Linked DNA regions of Lonchura striata. Each later gene encodes a partner of the first gene's protein in a complex. Links are inferred from orthologs where the notes say so. Each region holds a gene or a part of one and is shown on either strand. Other genes may lie near its edges. The genes, in order: NUDT21 and CPSF7.

Region 1 (15,094 bases):
GTGCAGCAACCAGCTTGTAATTTTTGGGGACTGCAAACAAAGCTAAAAACAAATACAAGTTGATGAATCAAAAAAACCAGCACACATTCAGCCAAGGGATCATCATTCCCCACAGACCTCAAAACAAGTTCACTACATAGAGCACTCAACCAGGTTTATTGCTTTTTTAGTTAAATATGGGATTCACATCCTGTACACAGACTGATGCAAGCAGGAATAAAAATTTACTAGGAAGTCATGTTCAAAGGATCATCTACCTTCAAAACAAATACCAGCATTTAACTTTGTTAGTGATCAACCACAAACAACTGCAAGCATACACATCTTGGTATAACATACCACAACATACACAATCACAACTTTGTGTTCCTTGAGTGAAATGCAGGCATTTAAATATTGTTACAAATACAACCCTTTGATCCAAACAAACACTTACCCTTTTCTTGAAGCTGGACCAAAAATAGCTTTTTGTGTTCTTTTGGCTTTGTAATATGAGCTGGGATATATGGATACTAGAAGAAAAATGGTAAAAAACAGTTGTACAGAGCTTTGAAAATACTATGTAATCTTAAATGCTACTTTATAAATTATCAAGCCCTGTACAAGTTTTCAGTGTGTCATATATTATTCTTTCATGGCATCAAATAAAACCATTTTCATAAGAAAGTACTTAGGAAAGGAATGCTGTTGCTGTCACAACTATTGACAGGCTCTAAAGTGGCATCAATATCATAAGCAGTTAAAACAACCCAATAAAACAGAAATGCATAAAAGCAAACTAAGCAAACTAAACAAAGATTTTCAATATTAAAGCCCTTAGAAATAGGGTAGTGAGACTAGGGCATGTTCCACAAGCAGCAGTACAAGAATCTCCATTGTGGCTACAAAAGGAATATAAATGGTGCATATGTCTCAATGTAGAACTGGAAGCTACTACATCTAGTGGTTTCTCATCCATCAGGACAGGTGTGAGAAGGAAGACAGGAATTTCCATTAAAAAAAAAGGCTGTAGTTTCTCTTCAGTCATAGAAAGGAGATGAAATAGACAAAACCCAGAAAAACAAATTGCTCATGCAGCAGGTACTCAAGAAGCCCATCTGGAAGGTTGAAGGCTTTTAGAAGTACAGACAGAACTTGACCAAAGAAGATGGAAGCCCACGGGAGTACTCACCTGTGGAGGTTCAAAGTTTGGTCTCCACCAGTTGCCAATGCAGTCATCAATCACCCAGTCTTGCTGAACACCATCCTGACGACCCAGTATCTATCAAAAATCTAGTACTAATCAGACCTCAAACTACCTCAAGGAAATTCTTTTATTAAACACATACTAGAAACAGAAAGACTTACTGCAATATATGTCTGATGTAGTTCATAACTGCTCTGAGACAGCTTTCAATAGAACTGTAGAGTATTTTTATATAAAGTGAGATTTTTCAGTAAAAGCTTCACCTGGTAAGACCAGGACACTCTAGAAAGCTTTTCAAAAATCTATGCTGTACTCAGCTGGACTGAGTCCTATCAGACCAATTGGAAGAATGCAATACATTGTTACATTAGCTAGCAGAATTAATTTAGCTACTTGGAGAAAATGGTGCATTGAGAGGACTATCTCAAAGGCAAGTCCCCAACAGCTGTCCTCCACAATATATTTTATTGCTCATCTCTACACTCACTTGCCTGAAGCCAGTCAGAAAGCAAAGCTGCAAATGAACACAGGACTTGAGCAGCAGGTAGGAGTCAGCCACACTCATGATGCAGATAAATGAAAACTTGACTGCTTTATTTGTTAACTACCTGAGAACATCACAAAAGCAACAAAATAACAACAATGGTAAGAAGACTACTCTAATCTTTATCTTATTCTGGTAATTCTAAAATAATGCAACATTCTCCTACAGCAATATAATGACAGAAAACAGACCTCTGTCATTAAGCGTTTGAGCCCTTCCACCTCATCTTCTCCTGGATTGAGTTCACCACCAGGTCTGTTAAAATAATCAATGATGAAAGTCAAAGTTATTTTATTGCATTTACCAATCTTCACAGCCAAGTTCCAGTGTGCTTCCAGGCTTATGGCTCTTAAGTTAGGAGTTAGAGATCTAGTTTTGCTGAATTGAAAGACAGCAGCATAGCTTTCACCTCAACTGAAATTAAAATGGCTATTTACATCCCATAAAAAATAACCATTACATAAAATACTTTCAGTTCAGCAGGACAAACTATAACAATACACATGATAAAAACTCAGTCCCTTATAGGGTAAAGTTTTAATAATAATAACCAGAAGCTGAAGGGCTGTAAATACTGCCTGTATTTGTTCTTATCACAAAGCCAGCACTAACTGAAGCATAGAGAAAGCAGAAAATAAAACTCATGTGGGAAAATTATGCAGGATTATTAATTTTCATCATTACAGCATTTTGCAAATTGTTTACATTCTTGTCTAGTCTGCAACAGCCCTTCAAATCAAGATGCCAAAAACTAATCTAGATTAGTTAAATTACTTAACATACACACAAAATTGAGAACAATCTAAAATGTTAAAACAGAAGAACAAGAACACAAGCATGGTAACATGAGACAAGTCAAGGCCATCTAGTATAAAAAATAAAATCACCACCATCACTACATCTGTATGCAATCACTAGAACTTCAGTCTGGCTGTGATAACTATGAGATGAACTGAAGCAATTTTCTCAGATTTAGATGCCTACCTTTCTTGCTATCCCAGCTCAGCTATTAGTTTGTAAGCAGGTATCATTCTGCATTTACAGGGGGTTAGTCCTTGGCCTCCACTTGCCCATTTTTACAGGCACAGCATAAGCGACTGAAGCATTGCAGCTTTCACAATGCAAGTACAACACATCAAGTGCTGGTAATGATTTTTAAACAAGATTTTACTGTAGTGATGCACTGTAACTAAGATTCCCAGTCAGTTCCAAACTAAATCATCCCCCTCACAAGCAGAGTCAAACACACTTTAGATTGAAACCACACCATTCAAAAAATACTTTCCAACTATGTCTTTTAACCTCTAGCCCACATTTACTGGTTTGTGACAATAAACTGCAGTTACACTTAGGAAACAGACACTTACAGCTTGAAAAAAGTTGTACCCAGCTGCAGTAACAGCACATGGGGCAGCCTGTGCTCATGCACAATCAGAACTCCTTCCACTGTCCGCCTCATGCCAATCTTGTCAAACTCTTCTCTCATGCGCTGAAACCGAGCTGCCACGGAACTGTCCTTCTCATACAGAGGCTCCTTTGTACCAAACGTGTAATTCGTCAGAGGATACCTGTAAGGAGAAAAAATGTTACTGCGTAACAAGAAATCTAACTTTAAATCACCATGACACAGCATCTACCCTGAGACAGATCCTTCACTGCTTGATGGGTAAAGTCATAGTGCAGGGCTAAAAATCTTTGTTGGTGGCTTATGAGGCCCCTGTCCCAGGGAGATCTGCACTATAGAACAAATAAGCACAGACAGTCCTGTTGAGCTGCACTCTAGCCTGGTGTAGGCTCAAAAGAAGGAAAAGAAGCACAGAACCAACTGTTGTTCAACAGCCACCCTCTTTGATCTCCATGCTGCAGGGAAAAGGCAGGTGAAACTCTGCTAGGAGCTGGAAAAGAGACTGGAGAAAAAGCTCTCCTGGGAAGGAAGGAAGCTGCACAGGACTGCAGGTTTTCTTCTGCAGATATAATGAAGCCTGAGAACTAAACTGTTAGAAGTGGTTTTGTTTTGAAGTGGGAAATCAGACATGTGGATCACAGAAGAGGAGACATGCTGAGTTTCTGAGTACAGGGTTGGGAACCTAGGGTAGGATCAAGAGTGTGAGCAGATCCCTCTGTTGGGCTGGTGCTGGGTGCCTGCACTCCTGTAACAGTGCAGTGGAAACTTGTCGATTTCTGAAAACAAAGAAAGGAAAGGTTAGGCAAGAAATGGGTCAGCCCAAGACAGCAAGAGGGCAACAGGGGAGTGCTATTGTACAATTAAATCCATTTAACAGAGAGGTCTGGTGGCAGGAGGCCTGGAGGAAAGACAGAATCACCCAGCTAAGTCAAAAGGGAGAAGAAAATGGTTCTGGGCAGAGCAGCGATGAGTTATCACCATGGTTTTACTGACTTGTGGCACACAGCAATGGAATTAACAGAATGAATGACTGTCTTATGTTTTCCTTGAGATGCTTCTTGGCATGGATTCCTTCCCCAGACATGTCAAACTTTAGTAGCATACGCTCTTCTCTCCTCAAATTCCAGCCCTCCTCTTCCTCCAATTTTCCTAATGTTTTACAGTGGTTAAAATAACAAGCCAGTTACCATTGTTGGAGCCTTTTCTCATGTAGACAAAACAACTAGCTTCCAAACCACAGGTTCATTTACTAACAAGCTCCCCCACTTTTACTTATAGTCTAAAACCATCTACATTTCTTTCTCTCTTCATTTCCATTCTTAGATACACAAATTACTTTAATAATAACCTATTAAGCTAACCCATACTATACTAATGTGGATGCATTAGTCTGTACATCAAAACCCTCAGCTTCAACTTAAAAAAAATGCTGCTGGTAACACAGCTTCATTATGAGTCTTTGCTTCAGAAACCCGATAGAAATATTGCAGTTTCTGAAGTTCATATTTGAACTTCCACATGACTCTGTGAATAAACTCAGCTACACAAAAAAACACAAAAGTGTCAGTGATTAATAGCTAAAATTAAATATTGACTGTTACAGCTACCATTTGCTGGTTTTTGCAATTTGATATATGCACATAGCAAAGAACACGTCCCAAATCCACCAGATTTACTGGAAGAAGCAAAAATATATGACTTCTCATAAAAAATACATTAATACTTATTAGTAAGTAGTTTGTCTCTATTACAAATTTCTGTGGTAGGAAACACTCCGAATTTTATCTCCAACACCTGTGCCAGATAATCCACAATCACCAGGCACATCCAGCCACATCCCACTGACTGCCCAGGATCAGCTCAAACCCCAGCGAGGCTAAGACCCTGTCTCTCTCTGCCGTCTTTCCGGATGCCTGTGAGAGCAAGAAAACGTCTGTGATGCTCACCACACCTAGACCTTTCCTGTGTTACTTGGGGTTCACAACTCCCGAGCCAGACGCTACTTCTAAGCACTAAAACATTTACACCAAATCCTCCACATTCCCACGAAGGCCGGCAAGCCCTCGGTACCCTCAGCGCGGCTCAGCAGCCCCTGTGAGGGGGGCGGGCCCCATCGGCACTCGGGCTCTGCCACCGCTGTGCCCCAGCCCTCCGAAGGGCCAGGACCCTCCGGACCTCGCACGGCGGAATCGGAAGGAAAATCCCGCCGAGCCTGCCGAGGGAGCGGGGATGAGCTCGCCAGCGGGGCGGGACGGCGGGGGCAGAGCCGGACAGGCCCGAGGCGGCGCTCACAGGTTGATGGTCCTTTCCAGCGTGAGCGGCTTCGTCTGCTGGATGTACTTGTTCCCGAACTGGTTCACCCCGCGGGGCCAGCCGGTCTGAGAGCGGTTGGGCGGCACCACGGACATGGCGAGAAGCGACGGGAACAGGCGGCGGGAGCGCTCAATCACTTCTGGGCGGCGGGAGCGCCGTCCGCCATTAACGCCCGCCCAGCCCTCAGCGCCGCGCCGCCTGCTGGGACCCGCCGCGCCGGCCCCGCCCCTCCCGCTCATTGGCCAACGGCTCCCCGCACGATACGATTGGCCATCGCTGGCGAAGCGCGGGGGCCGCAGGGAGTTGTAGTCCGGCCGGACGGTACCATGGCCGCCAAGCGTCACGGAGCGGCGGCGCCGGCGGCGGCCAAGCGCGGGAGGCGCGAGGCGCGCGCGGAGCTGAGCGCGGCCCTCGGGGACGCGGCGCTGCGGGAGCGCGCGGGGGCGGCCTGGGCCCGCGGGGAGCGGCTCCGGCACGGTACGGTACAGCACGGCACGGTCCGGCCGGGCCGCGGGGAGCGGCTCCGGCACGGTACGGTACAGCACGGCACGGTCCGGCCGGGCCCGCGGGGAGCGGCTCCGGCACGGTCCGGCCGGGCCCGCGGGGAGCCGCTCCGGCACGGTACGGTACAGCACGGCACGGTCCGGCCGGGCCCGCGGGGAGCGGCTCCGGCACGGTACAGCCCGGCCCGGCTCCCCGCCCCTCACCGACGGCCTTTCCCTTGCAGAAGCGGTGGTGCTGGAGCCGGCCCCGTTCCGGCACGGTGTCATTCCCGGTTTCCTGGCGGACCCGGCTTTCGCGGAGGCGCTGCGGGATGAACTGCTGGGCCTCGGCTTCCGCGGGCGGCGGAACGACCTCCTGTCGCTGCGGCAGGTGGGCCCGGGGCCGGGCTGAGCCGGGCCGGGCTGGGCCGGGCCGAGCCACGCTAACCCCGTCCCTTCTCTTCCATGGGCCGCGCAGTCCGAGGAGCTGGGGGCAAGCCCGGAGCCCCACGTCGCTGCCCTGAGGTGAAGCGCGGGCTCGGGGCTTTGCCCGCTCAGGGTGGGGGGAGAGCCGTGCTGGCTCCACAGCGAAAGCGGGGTGGGCCGCCTTCTGCCCCCATACTCGGGCCAAAAACCGGCTGTGGAGAGCTGGATCTGCTCTGTGCTTGTCATGGGCAATGAAGTCTATTCAGCTTTCATCCATATTCAGCTCTCCTGCAGCTGTCACCTCTGACAAGCTTCACAGTGCACCTTCCCACTGGTTGCATGTTTGCTGCTGATTATTGCCAGCAGTGCTGTGAGCACGGGGCTGTTTTCTTGGCCAGTGTGATCCTACAGAAACACACTGTCACTCACAGCAACAGCACCTGTAACCATTTAAACAGTTAGCAGGGAGGCAATACATTAATTTAGTCTATGATTATATGTTTTATAACATAGGACACTTACTGTGTGCTTATTTTCTCAGGCATGCACTGTGTGAAGAATTCCAAGTGTGGCTTTCTGATGTGACCCAGATAGTGCTGGAGCCAACTATTGACATATCCTGTGCTAAATATGAATATACTGGTCAGTCTCTAAGTGATCCTTTCCCTAGAGCTTCTGTGTATGTGTAGGGAACAAAACGTCTATAGAACACCTACTTGTATGCTAGTTCCAGAGGGTCCTAGAGGCTGTCAACAGCAAAACTGTGAAAATGAAGTACAAATGATGAAACAACTGTTGCTGGTGTATAACTGCCTGTACCTTCAGAGTGGCCTGATCTGTCAATTGCAGTGCAGTCCCACAGAAGTGAATCTTGCAGATTTCAGGCTGCTGATGCCAATGAGTGAAAATGTAGTTCTTAGAAAGAACATGTTTTTTCTTGTCGTATCCTTGCGGGGACAAAGCTGGGAAGCAGTTGTTGGCATGAATGATGCATGTACTGGAAAGATGCTACAGCAGCAAAACATGTGTAATTGCAGATGTCTTGCTGTGCCACGATGATGAACTGGAAGGTCGGAGAATCGCTTTCATCCTATACCTCGTCCCACCCTGGGAGAAAAGTGACGGGGGAACATTGGATCTGTACAGCACAGATGGTAAAAGCTCCAAGCTCAGCCTCAGATAGATGAAGGAGATGAAGCTTATGTGCCCCTTGCAGCAACTCTCACCCCAAACAGTAGAAGGGAAATAAGGAGTTTCTCCTTTGTTCGGAGAAGCTGATGTAAAGTGTGCCCCTTAGGGATAGGCTTTGCAGACAGGCAACAGCAGACAAACTTTTGGAGGGGTCAGGAGTAGAGGCAAGATGGAAGTGATGCCAGTAAATGTGCTTGGAACTCCAGACTGATGACAAAAACTTCCCTTTCCAGCAGCAGAACCGCAGAATGGTTTGGGTTGGAAGAGATCTTAAAGCTCATCTTGTTCCAGCCCGCCTGCTGTAGGCAGGGACATGGTCTGCTAGACCAGGATGCTACAAACCCCACTGAGCATTTATAGGATGGGGCATCCACACTTTCTCTGGGCAACCTGTGCCAGTGCCTCACTGCTCACAGTGAAGAATTTCTTTCTAATAGCTGATCTAAACACACCCTTTGTTTCAAGCCATTCTCCCTTGTTCTGTTATTCCATGCCATGTCTGTCCTAACTCCTTCTACAGCACTCTTGGTAGCTCCTTTTGGTACTGGAAGAGGCTTTAGGTTACCCTAGAACCTTCTCTTCTCCAAGCTGAACAGCCCCAACTCTGTCTTCCTGTCTCCATGCAGAGATGCACTGATTCCTCACCAAGCCCTTGCTCTGAGCTCCATGCCTTATACCCAGGTGTCCCACCAGTCACAGAATCATGTTGTCAGAGAGAAGTCCCAGTTCCTTTCTTAACCAGAGTATGTTTTCTTCTTCAGAACACTTTCAGCCACAGCAAATCACCAAGTCATTAGTGCCTTCATGGAACACACTGGTTTTCTTTGAAGTGTCTCCAGTCTCTTTCCATCAGGCAAGGAGCGTTCTCTTGTTAACTTTTTAATCCTCATTGTTGTGGTTATTCATTCTGTGTGTTATTACTGTCCTGATGGGGAGAGAGAAGAATGGTGGGTAGAGTGGATACTTGTGCTAAGTGCTGTGTGCTAAAGAAGGGCTTCAAGGACTTGAAGGAGGACAAGAACCAACAAAGCCAACTTTAAACCATCAGTCTAGCTGCATCATCCTGTGAAAGAAAAATTTCCATTTCTATTTTGTGTTACTATCGTGGCAAGCCACTGCTTTGAATTTAGCTCTCGCTTGTTTGTTAGCTTGTTTTAAACTAGCTCACATTTTTGATGTAGTGGTCATGACTTTGCTCCAGAAGAGCTCCTCAGGCCATTCATCACCTTGCCAACAGTGCAAGGGCACTTTGCAGATCTGGCTGTACACCCTCAGTGGCACAGACATGGTGCAGTACCCTGCAGCAGAAATGCTGATACAGTTAAGGAATACTCTGTGACACTTGTCGGGAAGAAGCCTGGGAACAGGATGAATAATTTGGGGAGCTGCATGACACAAACACCTGACTGAAATCTGACACTCCTGTGTACCTGAGAGTACCAGGGACATCAAACAAGGCCAGAGAGCAGAAGGCTGGGGAGGAAGATGATCAGTGATATAGGTTGGGCATGTCCTGACATAGGCCACTTAGGGGTCTGTTTTTGTGTCATTTATGTCTTACAGTTGTTAATTAAGAGCAGCATCTACTTGGGTTTAATTTTGTCTTAAAAATCCATTACTCAAATCTCCCAGAGTAAGAGAGAGAATGCATTCTCTGTGAACTTGGAGTAAAAGCTTAGACTGGAATTCTGGAAACCTGCAATGGACTTCAGGACAATAGGCCTCTCTCTGATAATCTGTCTGACATACCTGTGTGTGCAGTGGGCTCTCTGGAGCAGAGTCCATCTCCTGTTATGAATTTGCTTGGCACTGGTTACGCCTGGTCTGACCCGTGACGTGCTGCCCGCCGTTGTTGCAGGTGTCAGAAGTTGTGTCGCAGAAGTGCCGCCTGTCAGTGAGTGGTTGGTTCCACGGCTCGCCTGTGGCCAGACCTGCACGGCACATTGAAGCCCCCTTGGCCAGAAGCCCACACATCCCCTATGATGTGAGTAACAGTATATCTGCATTTCTGTCTCTGTCCTGTTCCTGTAATACCTGTTGGGGAATGCATCAATGCACTGGGGATGCTTTAATCTTTATCCCATTCTCCTTTTCATTTCCTGTTGATAAATTTGTATCCAGTTTCTTTCTTAGGCATCTTTGTATGTTTTGCATACCTACAGTAGTTCAGAGAATGTGGTGAATACCTGTGGTGCAAGGAAATAAAGCAATGGAGTGTGTTTGTGTGTAGGAATCCAGCTCTGTGGCCAGCTCAGTAGGAGGAATTAGGGAATCTTCTTCACTTCTGAAAATTCAGTGTTCTAATCCATTTCCCTTCCAGCATGAAATATTGTATGAGTGGATCAATCAAGTTTATTTGGACCTGGACTCCCAAGCTCAAATCCAGGAGGAATTTGAGGAGCGATCAGAAATTCTCCTGAAAGACTTTCTTAAGGTGAGCCCAGTGGTTGAATTTGATGTGATCTGCCAGAACTGGTCAGAGGGCTGGCAGGTACTACATGGCACGAAGGCTGGGAGAGGACTTCCTTGCACATCCATTAAAACAAAACACCTTCTAAGTTTCACACCTAAAAATGGACAGGTGACCTCCAGAGGCTCTTTCCAACCAAAAACCACTCTGATTCTGTGGAATTATCCCCTCTGACTGCCTGTAAACCACTGCATCAGGACTCAGCAAAAATAGATCACTTGTCTTCAACCTTGTTTTCTTAGGAGCTAAATGTTAACATTTCTGCATCTCTTTCTCCTAGAAAGAGAAGTACCAACTACTATGTGAAGCATTGGAGAACAAAGAGATCCACTGGAGTAGTCGAGGGCCAGCCAATAAAAGGTGGGGAATGACAGCACGCTGCACCAGTGTGCTGAGCAGGAGCTGCCAGGAGGCTGCACTGGTCAGTGCTATTGTTATAGATGTGGTCCTTGTTGGCTCTCCCACAAGGAGATACATCTGCTGTCTTTCAGACTCTATGAGGCAGCAGAGGAACACAGCCTCCCTGACACCCTGAAGAAATTCCTGCAGCTACTTCGCTCTGAGGCCTTATTTTTATTGCTTTCCAACTTCACTGGCCTAAAACTGCACTTCCTGGCTCCCTCTGATGAGGATGAAGATGCTGGGGAGGGACAAGCAGCAGACACCAGTGGGCAAAGCAGTCCCAAATCTGAGCAGGAAGAGACTGAACAACGAGCCAATGGCAATCCCCATCAGCCACACCAGCCTGAGAACACCCCTGAAGCACAGGATGGCGAGACTCAGAGCAGTGAGTAGAGCAGCAGCAGTGAAAAAGGATTCAAACAAAATTCCCAGTGATTTTCATGGAACTAGTGCTTCACCTAGTTTGTTTCACCTTGTTTGTGCAACCAGCACAAACATAGGACTTGAAGCTTTTTAGACTGATTATCTGAAATCAGTGACCATTGCAAAAGAATTTGGAGTAAATCAATGATAATTTGAAGATGCCATTTTGAACAGACCTAAGTCCTAAGGGTGGGACTTTTGGGGGGACTGCTCATCTTCTGTCAATAGTTACATGGTTTCTACATCCATGTACCCCTACGTCATATAAAGCATATTCTTGTATGAGATAATAAATCCAAAAGAGACAGGTGAACAGGTCAGAAGTAAAACCATTTTAGAATTAGAAAATTGATACCTAAAACTAGGATTCAACCTTTCAGAAAACACCATCAGCCTAAACAACCTTAGTTGAATTTAGTTGTCAGCAGTGACAACTATGAAAGATTAGATTAATTTTGGGTTTTGATTGATGATGTTTATTTAAAAGAGTGGCTCTGAAGTTTAAAGGTAGAGTTTTTGAAAATGCTCATCTTGCACTAAGACAAGTTAGTGGACACTGGAATAAAAGGTAATATAAAAACAAGTCCTACTTAAAAAATCCCATCAGAGCAGTTACCAGGACCAAAGGATGTATGGAGCAAATCTCACAGTGGTGTGAGATCACTGAGCTCCTCACACGCTTTGAGCTCAGCTGATGTGCCTTCATGGCTCTCCCTTGGGTGTTTGTGCCCTCTCCTAGGCTCAGGAACTCCTGTGTGTGCGGGGGAGCTGCGACGCTGGACCCACGGGCACTACACTCTTGTCCATGATTCTCAAGCCACAGAATTTGCTCTTGATCTGCTCTTCTTTTGTGGCTGTGAAGGTAAGTGGATGAGAGAGAGATGTCAGACTCTCCTTTCACAAGACTTGCATAAAGGAATGACTTCTGAGTGGTCAGCAGTTCTAAAACACACAAAATTTCCCTGCTTTTTCCTGCATAGAAGGTTTCTGTAGACTTTGTCTTAGTCCTCACTTCGGCATAAACCCTGTTTCCAGTAGTCCTCATGGAAAAGTTTGGGATTGTGGCCTTGGAATCATCTCTGGCCTTTCCGCTTGCGCCAGGAGGTGGCGCTTGGACAGGGGGAAAGGCTGAGCAATGGCTCTGGGTGCGCTGCAGGCTCAGGTGGCCACAGTACCCACCAGGAGTGTTCTACCCTTTTCTCATCAGAATTATTACTACACGTCCAGTTCACAAAGGTCAACGTTTTCAAAAGTTACTTTAGGCATACCTAGGCATTTTGGGTTGATTGCTAGTTAGATAGTGGTAAAACAAAAAAAAAAAAAAAAAAAATTAACCACAAGCATTTTAGACCAGATGAGGCCAAAATGTACAGCTGACTGAAATCCTTTGGTATATCTGCTAGGGTAGAACTGTTCTACAGGTGAGGAGCGGTGCACCAAGCAACTTTAAATAGCTCATCTACCATAAAAGGCAAATCCAGTACACTTGCTTCAAGTTGTTTCTGAACAGAAGAAAACAAATAGACTGGCAGGAGGTAAATACTTACCCTGTATCCAGTAACTTTGGAGAGCAAGGTGAAAAATGGCATCTCCTGGAAGGCTGTGTGGAGCATGAACAGCACTGTGGTTTCTAAGAATGTTTCTTTTCTATTTTAAGAGTGGGATCCTGAATATGGTGGCTTTACTTCCTACATTGCTAAAGGTGAAGATGAAGAGGTAAGGACCTCAGTAGCTAGCTGCAAATCAGATGAAACTGTATAGGGTGGAGAGACATAATTACACTTTGTCTTAATGCCAGCATAGTGCTGAGGGCGCTCAGTTGCGCACTGGAGCCTCCCTGCCCCAGTCGCTGCTCGTGGGCAAAGCTCTGGCCTCAGAGCTTTGTTAACACAAAGCATGAGACCTGGGCCCTGAGAGAGCCTCATGGTACCTGCACCTGGGGCTGTTTGGGAAGCCTGCCTGGAAGGGACACAAGGCTGTAGCAGGGATAACACTTGCCCAGGGAAGTGCTGTTCACTGGGATCCCATTCAGCATCAGTACTAGAAGCCCTTAATGTATAACAATGCTTCAGGTAAAGGGTATTAAAATGAAAATAGTGTCACAGTGCATTTTCTAACACCAACCCTTTGTTCTAACTAACTTTTGAAACAGTTTTGTTTTTTCTGAAGAATTTTATTAAAGCTATTTTTGTGAAATTGATTTACTTCCTTATCTTTGTATTCCCTAGCTGTTGACAGTGAATCCAGAGGAGAACTGCTTGGCCTTAGTTTATAGAGACAAAGAAACTATGAAGTTTGTGAAATACATCAACCATCGAAGCTTGGCACGCCTGAACAAGCATCCAAACAGAACAGGATTTTGGGATTTTTCCTTCGTCTATTATGAGTGATGGTGTAGTATGACCACTGTCACAGAGAAGAGTAGTGGGTGGTGGACAGGTTCCTACCCAGACATTAAGCTGACAAACTTTGCTCATGCAATTCAATCACACTGCTTAATGGAGGGGGGGGGGGGGGGGCAGGTGGTTTTTTTAACTGCAAAAAAGGAAAATCAGACTTATCCTGTGTCCATTGTAACACACTCTCAACGGCTTTTAAGGCTCTGTGGTTGTCACACAACTTGCCAGCTGTTTTCTCATGGGAGCAGCACAGTGGCATCTCTGACCCATCAGAGTGAGAATTACAACTGTCCATTGCCCCAAGCTGCTGACTGATTTTATTAAAAAAAAAAAAAGGAAACGTGTCAGTTTTTTCATACACTGGTCAGACAAGTTTTGTTAGAAAATGCCCAAGACATTTTCTGGGGCTTAACTGTGTTCCTAAGACAAAAATAAAGGAGCCACCATGGGAAATATGAGGTTTTTCCAGCTGCACAACTCTGTGGAATTGGGAAGGAAGACAGTGAGGCTATAAAGGCATTGGGTAGCACTTGGCACCATAACAAGGAGCAGGACTTTATTATGCTAAATGCTGTGCAGACAGACCTAGATGGGGCCCTTTTTCCAAAGAATTTACAAGCTAAACAGCCAAGAAGAAGCCTGCTCCTGCACACTCTCCTTGGGTGGGTGTGCAGACAGCTTTGAGCTCCAGCCTCACAACAGTGGCCAGGGACTGGAAGCAGGAATGAGGCAACTTACCTTTTACTGGCTTGGTGTCCACAGGTAATAGGGAGGTCATCCAACAGCATGGCCTTGTGTCCTTTTTGTTATGTCCTGGGATCTGCGTTTTAGGGTGGTTTATGTCACTGGAGATCATCTCAAATGTTTTGAGGCAGCAGCCAGCCAAGTCCTGTGGTAAACACTGCAGGAAAGGCAGTGAGTGTGGCCTTGGTGCAACACTTTCCTCCCTGCATGTTTTCAACACTGCACCGCCCCACAGTCACTGCAAACAGGACTGTGCCAGACTCACCTCTGAGGTGTCCAGACCACCAAGAGGTGCAGCAGAGCTGTACCAATGCTTCAAGAGACAGCCAGAGTGCAGAACACTGCTGGAGGCTCGGCCCTGGTCTGCACCTGCTTGCCTGAAACTTTTTTCTGTCACTGAGAGACAGGTGTTCTTGCAGCTCGTGCAAGCCAGACACTGCAGGCCATGGGCTTGCAGTAAGCTGGGGAGTGTGCATGTCTTTCCTGGGTAGCTTTGGATTAAAGTCTGCTCCTTCTCCCATTCCAGGCCTGTTGGAGGCCACCACAGTGGGGTAAGACTGCAGCTGACAGTACAGGAGCAGTAAACTCAAAGCAAGGCTCACTGTTGACATGAGTACTCTGGATCTTTTCCCGAGCAGGTGGGATGTCCTGTGGGCATGTCTGCATGAAGACACAGGAGCAACAGCCTTCAGTGTCGATCCCAACACACAAAGTTCAAAAAAGGAATCCCTGAGGCAGGTGGCAGGAACCCCTACCATTGCTTCCAAAGGGGAAGGTATCTCAGCCCCCACAGGTGCCAGAGCAAGGGGCCAGCACTGCTGTTAAGAGAGTGCTGTGCAGGTCTCTCTAGTTCCAGTGTCGGTTCCATCCCAGGTGATGAGCAGCTGCTCAGTTCTAGCTGCTCCCTCACACTCTGTTGGGCAGGAAGGATGGCTGGGAGGTGGTTGCCCCGAACAGCTGTTGTAAGATCTTGCTCATATTCTGACTCATTTCCCAAAGCCAGCATCTCTGCGTGCTGCCAAAACTCTCTTGCTCAATTTTAATCTTCCTTTGCCACTTACAAAGGTAAGGGGATGAAGCTAGAAACATGCTGAATTGAGGACAGAACC
Region 2 (15,667 bases), on another chromosome or scaffold:
AAAAGATGAAAAATCCAATAAAGAGCCCGGCCCAGCTGAGGAGCGGCTGGAGCAGGGGGTGCCCGGCTGGTGATGCCAGGGATGGGGCACACAGGTCGAGGCGTCTCCTTTGAAGAATCCTATTTTTGGGGAGTGGGGCCCCTCGTTTTCTGGAGGCAGCCCCTGCTCTCAGTAATAAAGGACAGTCAGTAACTGCCAGCATGAGTCATCTGTGGGATTGGGGGAATGCAGGGGGTGGATCCTGGGGTGAGAATGGGGGCACCACACATGGGTGAGCACCACAGTTGAGTTGGGTGGGCATCCCCCCGGCACTGAGCATCCCCCTCACAGCTCCAAGCATCCCCCCTCAGCGTTATCCCTCCCAACCCTGAGCATTTCCACAGTATTATCCAATCCACCACTGAGTATCCCCCCAAAACTCTGGGATCCTGCTGGGATTGGGATCCCCATGGAGGCTTCAGAAACAACAGTGACCCCTGCAGCCTCCTTGGAGCCAAGCGAGCTCCCATCCCATCCAGGTCTGGGCTGAGTTCCTTGGCACGGGATAGGGACTGGAATGTGGCTCCAAAGGGAAGGAAGAGGCAGGGAACCATATTCTGTGTCCTGGTGCCATGGAAAAGGCACTGATGGCTGTTAAATAATTCACAGAATGCTGGTCTTGAATAAATAAATGAAACTTCAGACAGAGGGATGGCAGGACGGCCATCCGTGTTCTCCCTGCCCAGGATAAGATCCCTCTGGATCCACCCTTCAGGCCCCGGGGTGCAGTGTTGGAGGTGGCAGCAGGGGACAACACTGTCCCCTTGCCACCTGCACCCTGGTGGAGAGGAGGTGGCTGCTGCCTATCCCCGCTCCACCTCCAGCTGAGCCAAACCTGGGGAATTTTGGCATTCCCAAGCTGCCGATGGCATTGGTGCCACCAATCCTGGCTCTGCCTGGGCTCTTACACCAACACCGGGCTCCTTTCATCCTCCCAGATCCTTGAAAGCGCAGCGAGCCCGGCGCTCCTGTTGCACGGATCCGCAGCGATTCCCAGTCCCGTTGCCTTGTGCTGGCAGGCAGCGGGAGCAGATGGAAATAGCAGCGTGATCCCAGCTGCGGAGAGGCCACAAATCGTCGCACGCGGGGCCGGGAGAGGAGGCAGGGATATATATATAGGGACAGACGTATGGATGATGCACTGCCGGCAGCGGGGACTCGCCGGTGCCAGCGGCCCCAAAATACTCGAGCGGAGCCGGAATCTGTCAGATTCCCACTGACTGCGGCAGCTCCTGGTCCTGGTGTCACCACCATCGTCACCGGTGCCTGGATCCCAACCCAGCTCCTTGGGAAAAGCTGGGCGGTGAGAAAAGGCTGCAGAGAGGGAGGATCCCCCCTTATCCCATGTGTCAGAGCTCCTGGATCTGGTCCTGGCCATGGGGACAGGCTGGTGGCATCCAAAGCCACCTGCATCACAATTCCTGCCGAACGAGTGGGCTGGCATGGAGCTGGTGGCATCAGATCTTGCCTACATCAGGAGTTTGGAATGCTGAGGGTCTCTGCCAGGGTCAGCACCCTCAGGATCATGGATGATTCCTTGCTAATTGGCAGCAGTGTCTTCCCAGATAAAGCAGCAGCACCCTGGATCGATGGCATGAAGGGGTGGGAGACACCCAGAATTCCAGGAGCATGTTCCTGGGATGTCGTGGGATCCTGGATTGCTCTGCCCTACAGTGACGGGTACCTGAGTGGGCAAAGGGATCAACAACCTGTACCTATTGGGAAGATCTGATTCAAAGCTCCTGCTAAGCCCCAAATCCCTGAAATTACCCCGGAGGAGCTGGCACTGACAGCTCCTGCACATCCCGCAGCTGAGGAAGCTCCATGTGTCCAAAATAGCCGTGGTTCCTGCTGCGGAATAGGAAGCGGAGGGAAAAACCGGCAGCATCCGCCCTGCCAGTGCCGGAGCGGATGTGGCCGGAGTTCTGGCTGCCTCCCAGCCCCAAACCCAAATCCATGGCCTTTAAAAGCGGATGTGTGGTTTGAAACCTCCAATGAATGAGCTTCAGACCTCGGATCCCCAAGCTTTCCACCACACGGGCTCAGCTCGGGGATGGGCGGAGGGAATCAGGATTCCTTGGATGTCCAAAATAAGAGGAGCTGGTGGTTGCACACCAGGATATGTCACTTGGTTTTAGGGGATCCCAAATAAACCCTTCCCTGAGGCTGGTCCCCACCACTATTCTCTCACAACAAATTCCTCGGATTTGTGCTTTTTATTGCTTGTGTTTGGTCCAAGAGGCACTTGGAGAGAGGAAGAGGAAGGATAAGGTGTCAACCCTGGATCTGGTGTCTGTTTTGGGACAGACAGTGCCAGGGATGAGCCTCCTCTTCCCACAGAGGCAAAACCCTGTTCTGGTTGGAGACAGGCAGTGCTTCAACCCAGGTGGAATTTCCAAACCTGATGGTCAGGAGGAACCTGGTGGAAAATCTCTCCCCCAGCTCAGTTCCAGCAGCAGGATGGGGTTCTCAGGGTCTGTGCCCTTGTTCCCAGACCTTGGAGCTCTCCAGGATGATGGGATCAATGGAATGGATGCAACCAGCAGTGCTTTTTCCTGTGCTGCCCATTGGGATAGGAGTAAAGGATTTTCAGAGGTGGAGGAGTAGAAATGTTCCCATTCTTGTGGGGTGGCAGTGGGGGATCACCCTTAAGGGTAGGGGGTTGTATCCCAATCCAAGACATCCTGGAGTAGGTGGGATGCTCTCAGGTGAGATAACCATTAGGATCGATGAGCCCTGTTGATCCAGCACAAAACACTGCTGCCCCAACTGGATAAGGCTGATCCTTAGACCCTTGTTTTTCCTTTGTGGAGGCTGTGAACTTCCTCCTTTCTCAGCCCTAGATGGGAATTCCTTGGAAGACAGATGGAGGCTCTGCACCCCTTGAGGGGGACAGCAGCTCACGTTTCCTCAGGAGATCCCGTCAGGGCTGCAAATTCCCCCTCCCCATCCTCCGGCCCATCCTCGGGGGATACCGGGGCGGCCTCGGTGCCCTCCTCCTCCTCCTCCTGGCGCTGCAGGCTCTGCAGCCGCTCCTGCCGCGCTTCCATGTATTCCTGCGCCCCGTCCCCCACCAGCTGCACTTCATCCCCGACGCAGGGCGGCTGCCGGACGGGATTGTGGTCGTAGGACAGGAGGCGCAGGGAAGCGAGGCCGGTGAGGTCCGGGAAGCTGGCGATGCGGTTGCGATCCAGGTCGAGGACGCGGATGTGATCCATGCGCAGCAGCACGGGCGGGAACTCCTGGAAGCGGTTCCCGTAGAGCCAGAGCCCCCGCAGGCCGGCCATGCGGGGCAGCGCCGCGGGCAGCCGGCTCAGCCGGTTGTCCCCCAGCTGGAGGCTGCGCAGCTCCGGCAGCTGCAGGAGAGCGCGGGGGAAGTGCGCCAAGAAGTTTCCCTCGATCCAGAGGCAGCGCAGGCTCTGGAGCTGGGCGAAGGAGGGCGGCAGCCCCTGCAGCCCGTTGCGGCCCAGGTACAGGTGCGCCAGGTGGGGCAGGTCGCACACGGCCTCGGGCACCTCCATCAGCTCGTTGCCGTCCAGAGCGAGGGTCCGCAGGTGCTGCAGCTCCGCCAGCTCGTCCGGGACCTCCCGCAGCCCCGCGTCGCTCAGGTAGAGCTTCCGCAGCCCCTGCTGAGCCCACAGCTCGGCCGGGACCTGCCGGCCCCGCACCTCCAGCCGCTGCTCGACGCCGTCGGGGCCCTCGGCTGCCGCCAGCCGAGCCCCACGCCCCGCGGAGCCGCCGCTGCCCATCGCTCACCGGGACCGGCACCGGGACCGGCACCGGGACCTGCACCGGACCCGGCGGGGGGAGGGCGACGCCGTAGCCATGGCAACGCGCCGCGGCCAATGGGAGCCCGCGTCGCTGGGCGGAGGCCACGCCCCCTGCCCATTCATGCCCCGCCCCGCCGTTCGCGCCCGTTTAGGCCACGCCCCCTGGTCATTCACGCCCCGCCCCGCCGTTCGCGCCCATTTAGGCCACGCCCCTGCCCATTCATGCCCCGCCCCGCCGTTCGCGCCCGTTTAGGCCACGCCCCCTGCCCATTCACGCCCCGCCCCGCCGTTCGCGCCCGTTTAGGCCACGCCCACGGGGTCCATTCACGCCCCGCCCCGCCGTTCTCACGCCTACCCGGCCCCGTTCCTGTCCCGCTTGTCCCGGCTCTGTCCCCAAACCAGGCAGAATTCCCTCGCACCCCAGCATTCCCAGCCCCTCTTCCAGCAGCTTGGCATCAGCGCCCTCAGCCTGAACTGGGTGTGAGGCTCTAAACTGAGTGTGGGGTCCCTGGGCTGGGTGGGAATCCACAGCTCCCTGAGCTGTGTGTGGATGCCTTGACGGGGTGGGGGTCCTTGAACTGGTGTACAATCCCTCTGTGATTCCTCAGATCCCCTGGGACCCTGCCGGGAGCCACTCCTTAGGGCACAGATCCCCTTCCCCATGGCCAGGGAAGATATGGATGAAGCCTCTCCAAGTGCCCCCCGTGCCATGGCTGCCCACCCTGCGGGGTCCTTCATCCTCCTCATCCTCCTGCTTCCCACCATAGCCCTGCCTGGATTTTCCTGCCGCAAATCAGCTGTGTCATCCCAAAGCCGGCTGGGAAAGCTGGAAAGCCGAGCTCCTACAGCCCTCCAGCGGCAGCTGGCCAGGTGACAGCCCCCAACCACCCAAACCCCTCCTGCCAGGTTTTGGGATGCAGGAAACCCCCAAAATGGGCGAACAATTCAATGGCATTGCACAGGGTTTTTATTCCTCCTAGGGAGATTTGGGAAAAGCCGAGGATGGGACTCCCAGGATGCAGCAGCACTTTTGCAGGGGGTCACGTCAGGGGGTCATCGATGCGCCACAGGTTGGTGGGCTGGTTGTTGGTGCTGAAGCCACTGGGACTTGGGATCTGGATGCCCTCCACGGATCTCGGGGCCCAGGTGATTGGAGGCTGTGCCCACCAGCCTGGAAAATCCAGGAGGGATTGGTGAAGGGGGTGTCCACTCCTCTGGGGGCTGTGATCTCCCCCCCGACTCACCTGGTGCTACGGGGGCCAGCGGCGAGAGATTGGTCAGGTACTGGTTGTGGACAGTGCTGTATGCCAACGGCTCCTGAGGGATGCAGCGGGTTGGGAGCATGATTCCTTGGGAAAAGGGATGGGGACAGGGGACATGGCTGCACCCACCTTCCAGGTAGTGACTCCCTTGGGTCCCACTTGCAGCTCCGGCGGGGCGAAGGGGGCGGGATGGCCCATGGCAGGTTGGGGCTGTGTGGGAACACAGGGATGATCCTGCTCATTCCCGTGCCCAGGCAGCTGCCTCAGAGCCCACTGGGAGCAGTGGGAGCACCAGGACAGGACGTCCCCTGCCCTTGCCACCCTCTCCCTTTGCTTACAATGCTGCATTTGGCAGGAACGGAATCCATCCGACCATCACCAACATCAAGCTGTGGGAGAGGAAAAGTGTCCCCTGGGGTGCTGAGGGGTGGGGGGACAGGGGACATGATGGGCACGGGGCTCACGGGCTGCTCTGGCATGGTGAGGCCGCTCCTCTGGGTGGTCCCGGTGCAGCCCGACAGCTCCGTCGCCCTCGGTGGGACATCTGTGGGGAGCAGATGGAGCAGGGATGTCCCCTGTGTCCCCAGGCCTGGCATTACCTGGATACACCTGTCCCACTGTGTTTGGGGGGGAGCAGGGAGTCTCCAACACTCCCCAAACCTCCTGAGGTCTGACCTGACTCCAGGAACACTGACACCCCAAAATCCCTCGAGCTGGCTGTGGCTCTGGCACCATCAATAATCCCAAAACATTCCTGATGTTGGAGCTGGACCCGGAACCCTCAGGGCCCCAAATCCTCCTGTGGTTGGAGGTTTCCTAGGAATCCTAACACCCCAAAATCTTCATAAAGACAGAGCTTTCTCTGGGATCACCAAGACCCCAGAATCTCCTGGGAATGAAGCTTTCACCAGGATCTCAACACCCCAAAACCCTCCTACTAAGGCTGGAGCTTTCCCTGGGATTCCCAAGACCCCAGAATCATACCTGGCTTGGCAGGACTGGCGCAGTGGCTCTGGATGCCATATTCCCCAGATCTTTTTGGGGCTCTCACCTCCCCGAAACGGAGGCGGGAAAAGGAGAAGTCAGTAGGACACCGACACCCCGGCTCATGCACATGCTCGGGCAACATCCTTTGGTATTCCGGGCGCCCGAAGACCTTGAAGTCCTCGGAGGTGGTGGACACGTCCGTGTCCTGGCTGCGGTGGGAATGGCTGTGATGGAGTGATCCCAAAACGAGCCCCCCAGACTCCTGCAGCAGGGACCTACCGCTCCACGTGCGGGGAGATCAGGGGTCCCAGTGCCGAGTAGTTGTTGGTGACGTATCCCGAGCCGGTGTGGATGCCGAGGAGGGGGTGCATGCTCCTGTCACCGGGGGGCTCAATCCCCAAAACACGGCCCTTCTCCAACTTTTGGGGTGACCCTGTGGGCCTCTTCCCGAAGGCCACCTCGTAGGAGGTGATGTAGAAGCCCATGAGCTCAGAGGGGGGGCCCCCTCACCATGGGGAACCCCGTCCCCAACCCCGCGGCGGGCGAGTCCTGCGGCAGGGACGGCATCCTGGCTCTGGGAATGGACCCCTGGAGCTGGGAATGGCCCTACGCCATGGCTGGAGGTGTCTGGAGGTGTGGGGCCCTCCCAGCAGACCCGGAAGCTGTGGAATGTGCCCGTGGAATGCACTCTATCTCCCGGTAACCGTCGCGGGGACCTCCCGGGAGGTTGTCACTGGAGGGCAGGAGGTCGGACAACCTCCTGGGTGTCCTGGAGGGCACCAGGAATGCCCCACTCCAGCTCCACTACGGCCCCCACACGGGGTTGGGCTCACCTCCAGGGGGTCCTGGGAAAAGGGGCAGGTGGGAACTGGGAGTATCAATGAGGTGGCATGTGCCAGGATCGACCTGGGAATGTCCCCGAGGGCCTGACCCCAATGTCACAAAGCAGGAGAGGGGCAGGGCCAGCAGCCAGGCAAAGCCGGTAGCCAGGGCTTTATTCAGCATTCCACGAGTGTCCAAAGGCTGCTGGGAGAGGAGGAAAATCTCAGGGAAGGTGGAAACGCCATTCCAGAGCCCCATGTCCCTGCGCTACTCCAGGGAACGGGGACAGAGGCATCCCCTCCCTCAGCGTGGTGGCTCAAACAGGTATTCCAGGTCCGGCTGCCGGAGCCTCTGCTCCCTGTTCCTGTTTTTGGCAAATTCCCTCAGCATGGCCATCACATCGGTGTCGAACTCCGTTGGCGTGGGCTTCGCTTCTGGAGGGAAAACAGGGAAGAATCAGCCGTGTGCTGTCCCACGGCGCCATGCCGGTGTCCCGGGGCGTGGCCACACGTACCAGTGGCCCAGTAATAAATGTCCCAGTCGTTACTGGGCTCGTTGATGAGGCGGTCGTAGCGATTCAGCTGCTCCTCGCTCATGTGCGCCAGGTTTTCCTTGGCAAAGAGGCTGGAGAGGGGTGGATCAGGGTGAGCGGGAGATGAAGGAAGAGCTGGGATATAAGAACCAGCTCAATGTGAACCTGGAAAACACAGACCCCCAGCCCGCTCTCCCTCACCTCAGCGGGTGGGAAAACACCGTCAGAGGAGCTGTGGAATCTCCACCCCTGGAATCCCCTTATCCAGCCTGCTCTGGTGGAAGGTGTCCCTGCCCACAGCAGGGGGTGAAACTGGATGATCCTTAAGTCCCTTCCATCCCGAACCATTCCAGGATTCCATGGGCTTGTTCACATGAGATATTGGGAAGAGATTCTTTCCTTGAGAGGGTGGCGAGGCCCTGGAATGGACTTCCCAGAGAATCTGTGGCTACCTGGAAGTGTGTTGCCTACCCTGCAAGTGTCCAAGCCACGTTGGACAGGGCTTGAAGAAACCAGGAATAGTGTAAGGTGTCCTTGAGGTCCTTTCCCACTCAAATCATTCCAGAATTCCACAATTCTATGTGTCTAATCTCTCCTTCAATCCCAAAATCCAACTGACATTGCATTCACATGTCCCACAATTTACATACATCCTTCCCAAAGGACTTTGGCTCACTGAGCTCTCCCAGCTCTACTCCATCATTGCATCCTGGATCAGCAAGACCTTGGAGCAATTTATCCCAAGGATTTTTGCAGTACCTCCATGAACTCTGCCTTGTTAATGAAAGGACCTGGAATACTCAGAGCCAAGCCCACCTGAGTAAGATGCAGTTTTCCAGCATGCCCCTTTTCCTGCTCTCATACAGCAGCCGGGCTCTCTTGGTGTCCAGTGGCTCGTCCAGACGCTCCTGCCAGGGGGGCAGCGGGATCTCCAGCACATCCTTCCCGGAATCCGTGGGGGAATCCCCCCGGTAGCCGCGCTGCGGGATCAGCGGCCACAGGAGATGCCGGCGCAGGGAGCAGAGCTGGAGGGAAAGCACAGGGATATCAGGACTGGGTGTGCCTGCACACAGGGACCTCTCCAAATCCTACTGGACACGATTCCCAATCCCACACCCCCAAACCCCGCTGCCCAGACCCCATAAATCCCCCAGACCTCCCTTTTCCCCCCAGATCCCCTTTTGTCTCCTCAGACTCTTCTCCTTTTTTTCTCCCCTCTTCCCACAATACGCTAATTTTCCTCCCGTCCTACCCTTCTCCCAAACTCATCCCTTTTCCCCTACTTTTCCTTTCCCCTCTCTCTCCTTTTCCCCCCTTTCCCTCCCTTTTCCCCTTTCCCCTTTCTTTTCCCCCTTTCCCAACGTTTTTCCCCTCTCCTTCCCCTTCTACCCCCTATTTACCCTTTTCCTCCCATTTTAACCTGCTTTTTCCGCTCTCCCTCCGTTCTCTCCCTTTGTACCCCTCTCCCTTCCCTCAGCCCTCCCAGCTTCCCCCCCTTCCCCCCCACCCTGGCCGCCGCCATCTTGCCGCGCGCCGCCGTGGCCACGCCCCCTCGCGGCTCTATGGGGCGGGGCGTGCCGGAAGTGGGCGTGGCCCCGCCCGGAAGTGGGCGCGGCGGCGCTGGCGGTGAGCGCGGGCGGCGCGCGCGGGGCTGGGATCGGGGGAGGGGGGGGCCCCGGGCGGGGGGCGCGACCTATCGCGACATATCGCGACCCGCCGCCCCCTCCCCTCACATCCCTCTGCCCACAAACCCCCCGGCCCGGGCCCCGCCGCTCCGCAGGGCCGCATATGGCGGGGACGGGGCGGCGCGAAAAGGGGGGGGGGGGGCAGTGGGGGATCGTGGGGAGCACAGGGAATTTGGGGGGAATCGGGGATTTGGGGGGGAGACACGATATGCAGGGACAGAAGGATCTGAGGGAACACGGGGTTTGGAGGGAAATGGGATTTGGGGGGACACAGGGATTTAGGGGGAAGAGGGGATTTGAGAGGCAGGGCGGATTTAGGGGGTAGAAGGGATTTGGAGGGAAGACAGGATTTAGGGGGACACAGGGACTGGGGTGGGGAAATGGGATTTGGGGCACACGGGGATTTGGGGGGACGCCCCCAGCAGGTCCCCAAGGCCTCACTGACCCGCTGCCCCCCCCCTCCCCAGAGCACCCTCCGTGTCCTGGCTCCGCCCGGTCCCAGCCCGGGCTCCCGCTTTTCCCGCCTCTGGAAATATGTCCGAGGGAGTGGATCTGATTGACATCTACGCCGACGAGGAGTTCACCCAGGTGAGGGCTGGGATAGGGGGGAGATCCCCCCTTTCTTTTGGGAAGAGATCCCAGTGTCCTGCAGCTCATCCCAGTGGAAGATGCAACTGGTGTGGCTGGGAAAAGGGAAGGATCATTCCCGATCATTCCCAAGTCTCTGTGGTTGCCACCTCCAGCTGTGATTAAAGGGTTTCCCTGTGGCTTGTGACACGTGGCTGGTCACGGAATGTTTAGGATTTAAGAGCTTAGCTGTGTCCTGGTTGGAAAAATGAGAAATCCCAGCTGGAAGAGGCACTTCTAGGGAATTTCGCTGTGAGGGAATACCAGGAGCCAAATCCATGGGATCACCTAGGCTGGGAATCTGTGCAGGAGCTCGCTGTTCCTGTGCTGCTTGTCCCATCCCAGGAATATCTGGGATTCAGAGGAAATGATGAAGGAAAGGGATGTTGGAGAAGCAGATTTTAGGGAGTTCATGGTTATGGGAAAGCAAGTGCAAAGGCAGATGTTGGAAAATTCAAAACTGCCATGGAAAGCTTGTGGAAGCAAGAGAAGTCATGGAAACTGGAAGCAAAGCACCCAGAAGAAGGAATCACCATGGAGAAAGGAATTCCTGTGAACTCCTGGAGTGATCAAGAGAAGCTTCTTCTGGTTATTGGGTGAGAATATCCCATGGAATCTCCTGTGAAGACCAAGTGGACAGAGGATCCTCAAAGCTGGAATGATGATCCAGGCCAATGACTCTGGCATGTTCCTCCCTTTGGGATGTGTGTCAGGAGAACACCTGGAATTAATCCATGCCAGGATCAAAGCAGCAGGGAAGTACTGTGGTGTCCCTGGGGCACTCCAGAGATGCCAGTGTAATTCCAAATCCCACATTCCCACGTGGTGATTCCCACTAACAGTGCCCAGCTTCATCCCTGTGCACCTCAACTCAGTGTGCATGGATGGGGATCAGGAGAATCCCTAAAATCTCCCAAGCTGCATCCCATAAAAGTAGCAGAACTGAGGGATTCCAAGGGATTCTTTCTCTAGCCCCTCCTTCATATTTTTGGTCTTGACTTTCTGAAACTTCCAGGTGGGAATCTTCCAGCCTTGGGCTGTGTCCAAAGGCTCCTGGTGGAGGTGGGAGCGTGGGAGTTGGATTAACCAAACACTTGAGCTTCTCTGGGAAACGAACACAAAACTACAGCTCCCTTTTCAAGTCATTCTTTTATCAGCTCCAGGGAAAGAACTGGATGCAAAAGTTCAGGGAGAGGAAAAATGGTTGGATGTTTGGATTCCCGGGCTTCCACTATCCTTGGAAAGCTGCCTGCTGAGCATCCTTCTCTGTCCAGCTCCCAAGAGGATGTTTGCAATTCCCTGACCCTCAGACTGTCTCCAGCAAAAAATATTGTCTAAACTGCCTGGAATTGAAAATCTGGGAGCAGAACCTCTGGTTTTTATGGCACACCAGCTCCTGTGGGATGGATCCTCATGGAGTGATTTTGTGGGATGAAACATTTGGCACAATCTGAACAAGGAACTGGGATCCATAGTAAACACAGCACTTGCTGGACAATCCAAACAGTGGGAATTGGGAGGCAGATCTAGGACATGCTGGAATTCCCAGCTCTGAAACTTCCTGAGTTCCTCTGCCAAAGGGACAGATCCAATTTGTGGGAGCTCCTACCCTAAAAAGGGCTTTTTTCCCAAAAATAAGGAAGTTTGGGGGGCTGGGCATAGTTTGAGGGGGTTATGCAATTCCCAAGTTGGAGTTTTGGGAAGAATGTGTTGCCAAGGAGTGATAGGCTCAGCCCTGGAGGACATTTGGTTTTCCACCACTGAATTCTTGCCCTCCAAATTGGGAATTTCTTCCTGGTGGCAGCAATAGGGTCTTGTCCTGTTGTGTGGGATCCAAGCGGGCTGGTCTTTGGAATGTGCTGGAGCTCAGTGGGGGTTTAGATGAGATACTGGGAAGAATTTCTTCCCTGTGACGATGGTGAGACCCTGGAATAGATTTCCCAGGGAAACTGTGGCTGCTCCATCCCTGGAAGTGATCCAGGCCAGGTTGGACAGGGCTTGGAGCAACCTGGGATAGTGGAAGGTGTCCCATGGCAGGGGGTGGGATGGGATGATCCTTAAGGTTCTTATTCCAAACCCAACAATTCTAACCCCAAATTCTGTTTTCATGATTCCATGAAAACAGACATGAAAACAGAAGCATCATCCTGTTTTTTGGGATTGTCCAGGCAAGGGATGGCTGTAATTCCCAAGCGTGCACAGACCCAAACCAAGTGATTTGGGCCTTAAACCTTTGGACTCAGCTTGGAAATTCCACTTGGGAATTGGAACAGCAGGTTTGGAAAGAGCAAAGAAGGCTTCCCAAGCCAGGATCTCATGACGTTTTCCCAGCAGGACCCGGAGTTCAGTAATGCTGACCAGATGGATCTCTACGACGACGTGTTAGCAGCCAGCTCTCAGCCCCAGGAAAAGCGTTCCAGCAGCTCGGAAGCACCTCCGGAGATCCGTCAGGAGCCGTCTCCCAAGCCCAACAGCAAACCCCCAGCCATCCTGTACACCTACAGCGGGCTCCGGAACAAGAGGGCTGCAGTCTACATCGGGAGCTTCTCCTGGGTGAGTTCATCGTCCTGAGAAATTTGGGATTCCTGGTGAACCTCTGAGGGGCTGCTGGGCTCTCTAGGGAAGTGGCAGGGATTTTGAAGGGCCTGCTCCTCCTCAGTTTCAGCTGGTCTCCCGAGCTGGGCTTGGCTTTGTGATCCTCAGGGAAAAGGAATTTGTATCCCTGAGGAGCTTCTGGGCTGGGGTATGTGCTGATGTCCCTTTGAAGCTGTGACTTTGGGCTGCTGCTCCTGAGTCACCTTCTTCTGTTCAGGGATGCAGGAATGTTTTTGGGAAGGCTCTGTCTTGTCCAGAGAACTTGTTGCTGTTATCCATTCCCAAAGCTTGTTCCGGATGATTTTAAGGTCCCTGAGGAAGTCTGGGGGTGACATTCATCAGTTGGGTGGGGGATACTGGGGACAGACATGGATACCAGCCTGTTCCCTATGCCCTCAGTGGACTACTGACCAGCAGCTGATCCAGACCATCCGCTCCGTTGGAGTCTACGACGTGGTGGAGCTGAAATTCGCGGAGAACCGAGCCAATGGCCAATCCAAGGGGTAAGAGCCAGTGGAATTTCAGGTGGGAATGGCAGGAGCCAGGTCCTCATTGCCACATCCGTTGTTTTGTGGAGGGTGAGAGAGCAGCTGGTGCTTCTCTGGCCTGGCACAGGGAATTCATGGAGCATCCCAAAAAGCATGGAAAAGTGAGGAGGGGGTGTGGAACAGCAGGATGGGATCAGAAGGAGGGTCTGGGGGGTATCTCTGCAGCAGGTTCAAGGCTCAACCTCCCTCTCTCCCACGCAGGTACGCGGAGGTGGTGGTCGCCTCCGAGAACTCAGTCCATAAACTCCTGGAGCTGCTTCCCGGAAAGATCCTGAACGGAGACAAGGTGGAGGTGAGGCTGGCGACCCGGCAGAACCTGTCGCAGTTCGAGGCTCAGGCTCGCAAACGTGAGTGCGGCGCCGGTGAGGTGGGTGGGGGGTTCCATCTCACACACATCCCAAATTCCCCCCCGGATCAGCTGCCAGGCCCAGCCCAGCGAGCCCTCGGGATGGGGGGAGACCCTGCCAGGAGCGTCTGGGGGTTGTTTTTCCTATTCCTGAGCCGGATTAGCTCCTGACCCGAGTCTTTATGATCCCCTTTTAGGTGCTCCCACACTGCGAAGATCCCTCGTAGCCTCCTCCTCCTCCTCTCCAAACTGAATGGGCTTAAGCTCTTCAGGCTCTCAGCATAGCTAAGACCCTCCATATCTATTAGTAGCTCCTCTCTGGATCTGCTCCAGAATTTTTCCATCCCTGCGGAGGTAAGGTGCCCAACACTGGAGGAATATTCCAGCTGGGGCCTGGCCGTGGGCGTCCCTCAATGGCAATAGGTGGTCCTGGCCTCACTCCGCAGCGATGCGACGGGATCCGCAGGGATTGTCCTGGCAGGAGCGTGTCCGAGGAGGTCTTGGCCAGCTCTGGTCGTTGTAGATCCCTTGGCATGTTTTGTGCAAGGAAAACTCCCCCTTCCCAGCAGAGTTGCTTCGCTCCTTTCCTTTGGCTTAGGTGCCCGAGGGGATCGGCTGCTTGGTGCTTAGGCTGTGTCCCAACTTGCCCTGCAGTTTTGGTGGAGCAGGGAGTGTTCTCTGGGCCGAGTTCCGGCTGCCCCCAGGGGAGAATGGAGCTCCTGTGCACCCTTTGGCACTGCTGGGAGCCGTGGCTCCTGTCACACCCCTTCTTGTCTCATCCTCAAAGCCTCTTTGGATAGAACAAGGCTTCTTCACCCTCTTGGAATGCTGAGTTTTCCTTCCTCTAGCAGCAGCTCCGTTGCTGTCAGCACTTGGGTTCTGTCCCCTCGTGCTCCTCCATGCTTGGACCTCTCCAAATCCATGTGTGGATCTCAGGCTCTCCGGGTCTTTGGATGTCTTTGGGGATTTCTCACCATTCCTTGTTGCTTTTGGCTCCTGTCCCTGTGACCTGCCTGTCCCCAGGGCACTGTGTGGGGTCTTGCTGGAAAGCTGGGCTCCTCTTGGAAAAACACATGGAAGTGGAGGCTATGCGTGGCCGGCTGGATCTCTCTCTGGGCACCTCCAGCCCTCCAGGGGTGGGAGGAAGAGGAGGAGCAGGAGGTCTCGGAGACCCGGACACCCTCCAGCTGCACCTCACAGGCCTTTCCCCGTGCCACTTCCAGGTGTGCCGCCGCGGGCCCACTCCCGGGATTCCGTGGATGCGGTGGATGGCCGGGCGACGCCGACAGAGAACGCGCTGCCCCCTGCCCGCATGGAGAAGCCTCCCTCGGTCCTGCCCTTCTTCAGCCGCCCCCCCGCGCTGCCCCTCATGGGGCTACCCCCCCCTCCCATGCCCCCTCCGCCTCCCCTGTCCTCTGCTTTCGGAGTCCCTCCTCCTCCTCCTGGAATTCCCTACCAGCACCTGCTGCCGCCGCCGCCCCGGCTGCCCCCACCCCTGGCCGTGCCCCCGCCAGGGGCTGTGCCCCCTGCCCTGCACCTCAATCCCGCCTTCTTCCCACCACCCACCGCCGCCCTGGGACCCCCTCCGGACACCTACGGCAAGGCCATGGCTCCCTACAACCACAGCAGGTGAGCTGGGCGGGAATGGGGTTGGGATGCTCGGGGAGGATCCCGCTGAACCCCTGTTCCCGCTGTGCCGACAGCCGGGAGCTGGGCCCGCCGATCCCGGCCGTGAGCGAAGGCGAGTTTGAGGAGATCATGAACCGCAACCGCGCCATCTCCAGCAGCGCCATTTCCAAGGCGGTGTCCGGCGCCAGCGCAGGTACTTCCCGTGTCCCTCCTGTCCCCCATCCTGGGATGGATTCCCACGCCTGACCCCCTGCTCCGCTCCCCCAGGGGATTACAGCAATGCCATCGAGACTCTGCTCACAGCCATCGCTGTCATCAAGCAGTCACGCGTGGCCAGCGACGAGCGGTGCCGCGTCCTCCTCTCTTCCCTCAAGGATTGCCTGCATGGAATTGAGGCCAAATCCTACAGCAGCAGCTCCAGCAGCAGCTCCAGGTATCCCCCTGGATCCAGAGGACGGGATCCTCCCTGCAGGTGAGTGACTAAAAAAATCACTCCTTGGGTTTTGTCTCCTCTTTCCCCGAAGGAAAAGACACCGATCTCGGGAGCGCTCTCCCAGCCGGTCCCGCGAGAGCAGCCGGCGGCACCGGGATCTGCTCCACGGCGACGATCGGCACGAGGATTATTTCCAGGAGCGGAGCCGGGAGCATGAGCGGCATCGGGACAGGGACAGAGACAGGGACCGGCACCACTGAGACAGGTGGGAAGCTCAGGAATCCCCTTGAAGTGTGAAGGATGAGGGAAAGGCACTCCCACCATTCGTCTCATCTCTCCCAGCAGGAATTTGCAGGAAGTGGTTTTTAATGGACTCATATCTCCTCACCTCG

Evidence for each region.
Region 2: the proteins of NUDT21 (region 1) and CPSF7 are in contact, whole or in part, in a crystal structure (PDB 3N9U), measured with the Homo sapiens proteins. The link is inferred for Lonchura striata from reciprocal best matches to the Homo sapiens genes NUDT21 and CPSF7. Residues at the interface, in NP_008937.1 of Homo sapiens: Arg68, Asn152, Glu154, Pro156, Tyr158, Tyr160, Pro162, Ala163, His164, Ile165, Thr166, Lys167; in NP_001129512.1 of Homo sapiens: Trp91, Trp92, Thr93, Thr94, Asp95, Gln96, Glu112, Lys114, Phe115, Glu117, Asn118, Arg119, Ala120, Asn121, Gly122, Gln123, Ser124.

Annotation. Positions count from the first base shown.
Region 1 is NC_134615.1:15,562,762-15,577,855, forward strand, and holds the start of NUDT21 (cleavage and polyadenylation specificity factor subunit 5), read right to left. Parts: upstream 5,657-15,094; 5' UTR 5,544-5,656; coding exon 5,428-5,543; intron 3,299-5,427; coding exon 3,098-3,298; intron 1,986-3,097; coding exon 1,922-1,985; intron 1,262-1,921; coding exon 1,172-1,261; intron 513-1,171; coding exon 437-512; intron 43-436; coding exon 1-42. Other genes in the region: prolyl 3-hydroxylase OGFOD1, read left to right, coding at 6,854-6,998, 7,394-7,510, 8,309-8,400, 9,406-9,531, 9,868-9,981, 10,298-10,377, 10,509-10,804, 11,582-11,704 and 2 more. UniProt on the Homo sapiens protein: Component of the cleavage factor Im (CFIm) complex that functions as an activator of the pre-mRNA 3'-end cleavage and polyadenylation processing required for the maturation of pre-mRNA into functional mRNAs.
Region 2 is NC_134608.1:53,680,031-53,695,697, forward strand, and holds the start of CPSF7 (cleavage and polyadenylation specificity factor subunit 7), read left to right. Parts: upstream 1-9,005; 5' UTR 9,006-9,038; intron 9,039-9,564; 5' UTR 9,565-9,631; coding exon 9,632-9,685; intron 9,686-12,058; coding exon 12,059-12,277; intron 12,278-12,718; coding exon 12,719-12,822; intron 12,823-13,068; coding exon 13,069-13,214; intron 13,215-14,436; coding exon 14,437-14,842; intron 14,843-14,916; coding exon 14,917-15,035; intron 15,036-15,109; coding exon 15,110-15,275; intron 15,276-15,366; coding exon 15,367-15,535; 3' UTR 15,536-15,540; intron 15,541-15,620; exon of another isoform or gene 15,621-15,667. Other genes in the region: LRRC10B (leucine-rich repeat-containing protein 10B), read right to left, coding at 2,940-3,788; uncharacterized protein LOC116183767, read right to left, coding at 4,863-5,126, 5,201-5,281, 5,410-5,615, 6,056-6,267, 6,338-6,543; SDHAF2 (succinate dehydrogenase assembly factor 2, mitochondrial), read right to left, coding at 7,184-7,314, 7,395-7,504, 8,229-8,437, 8,920-8,934.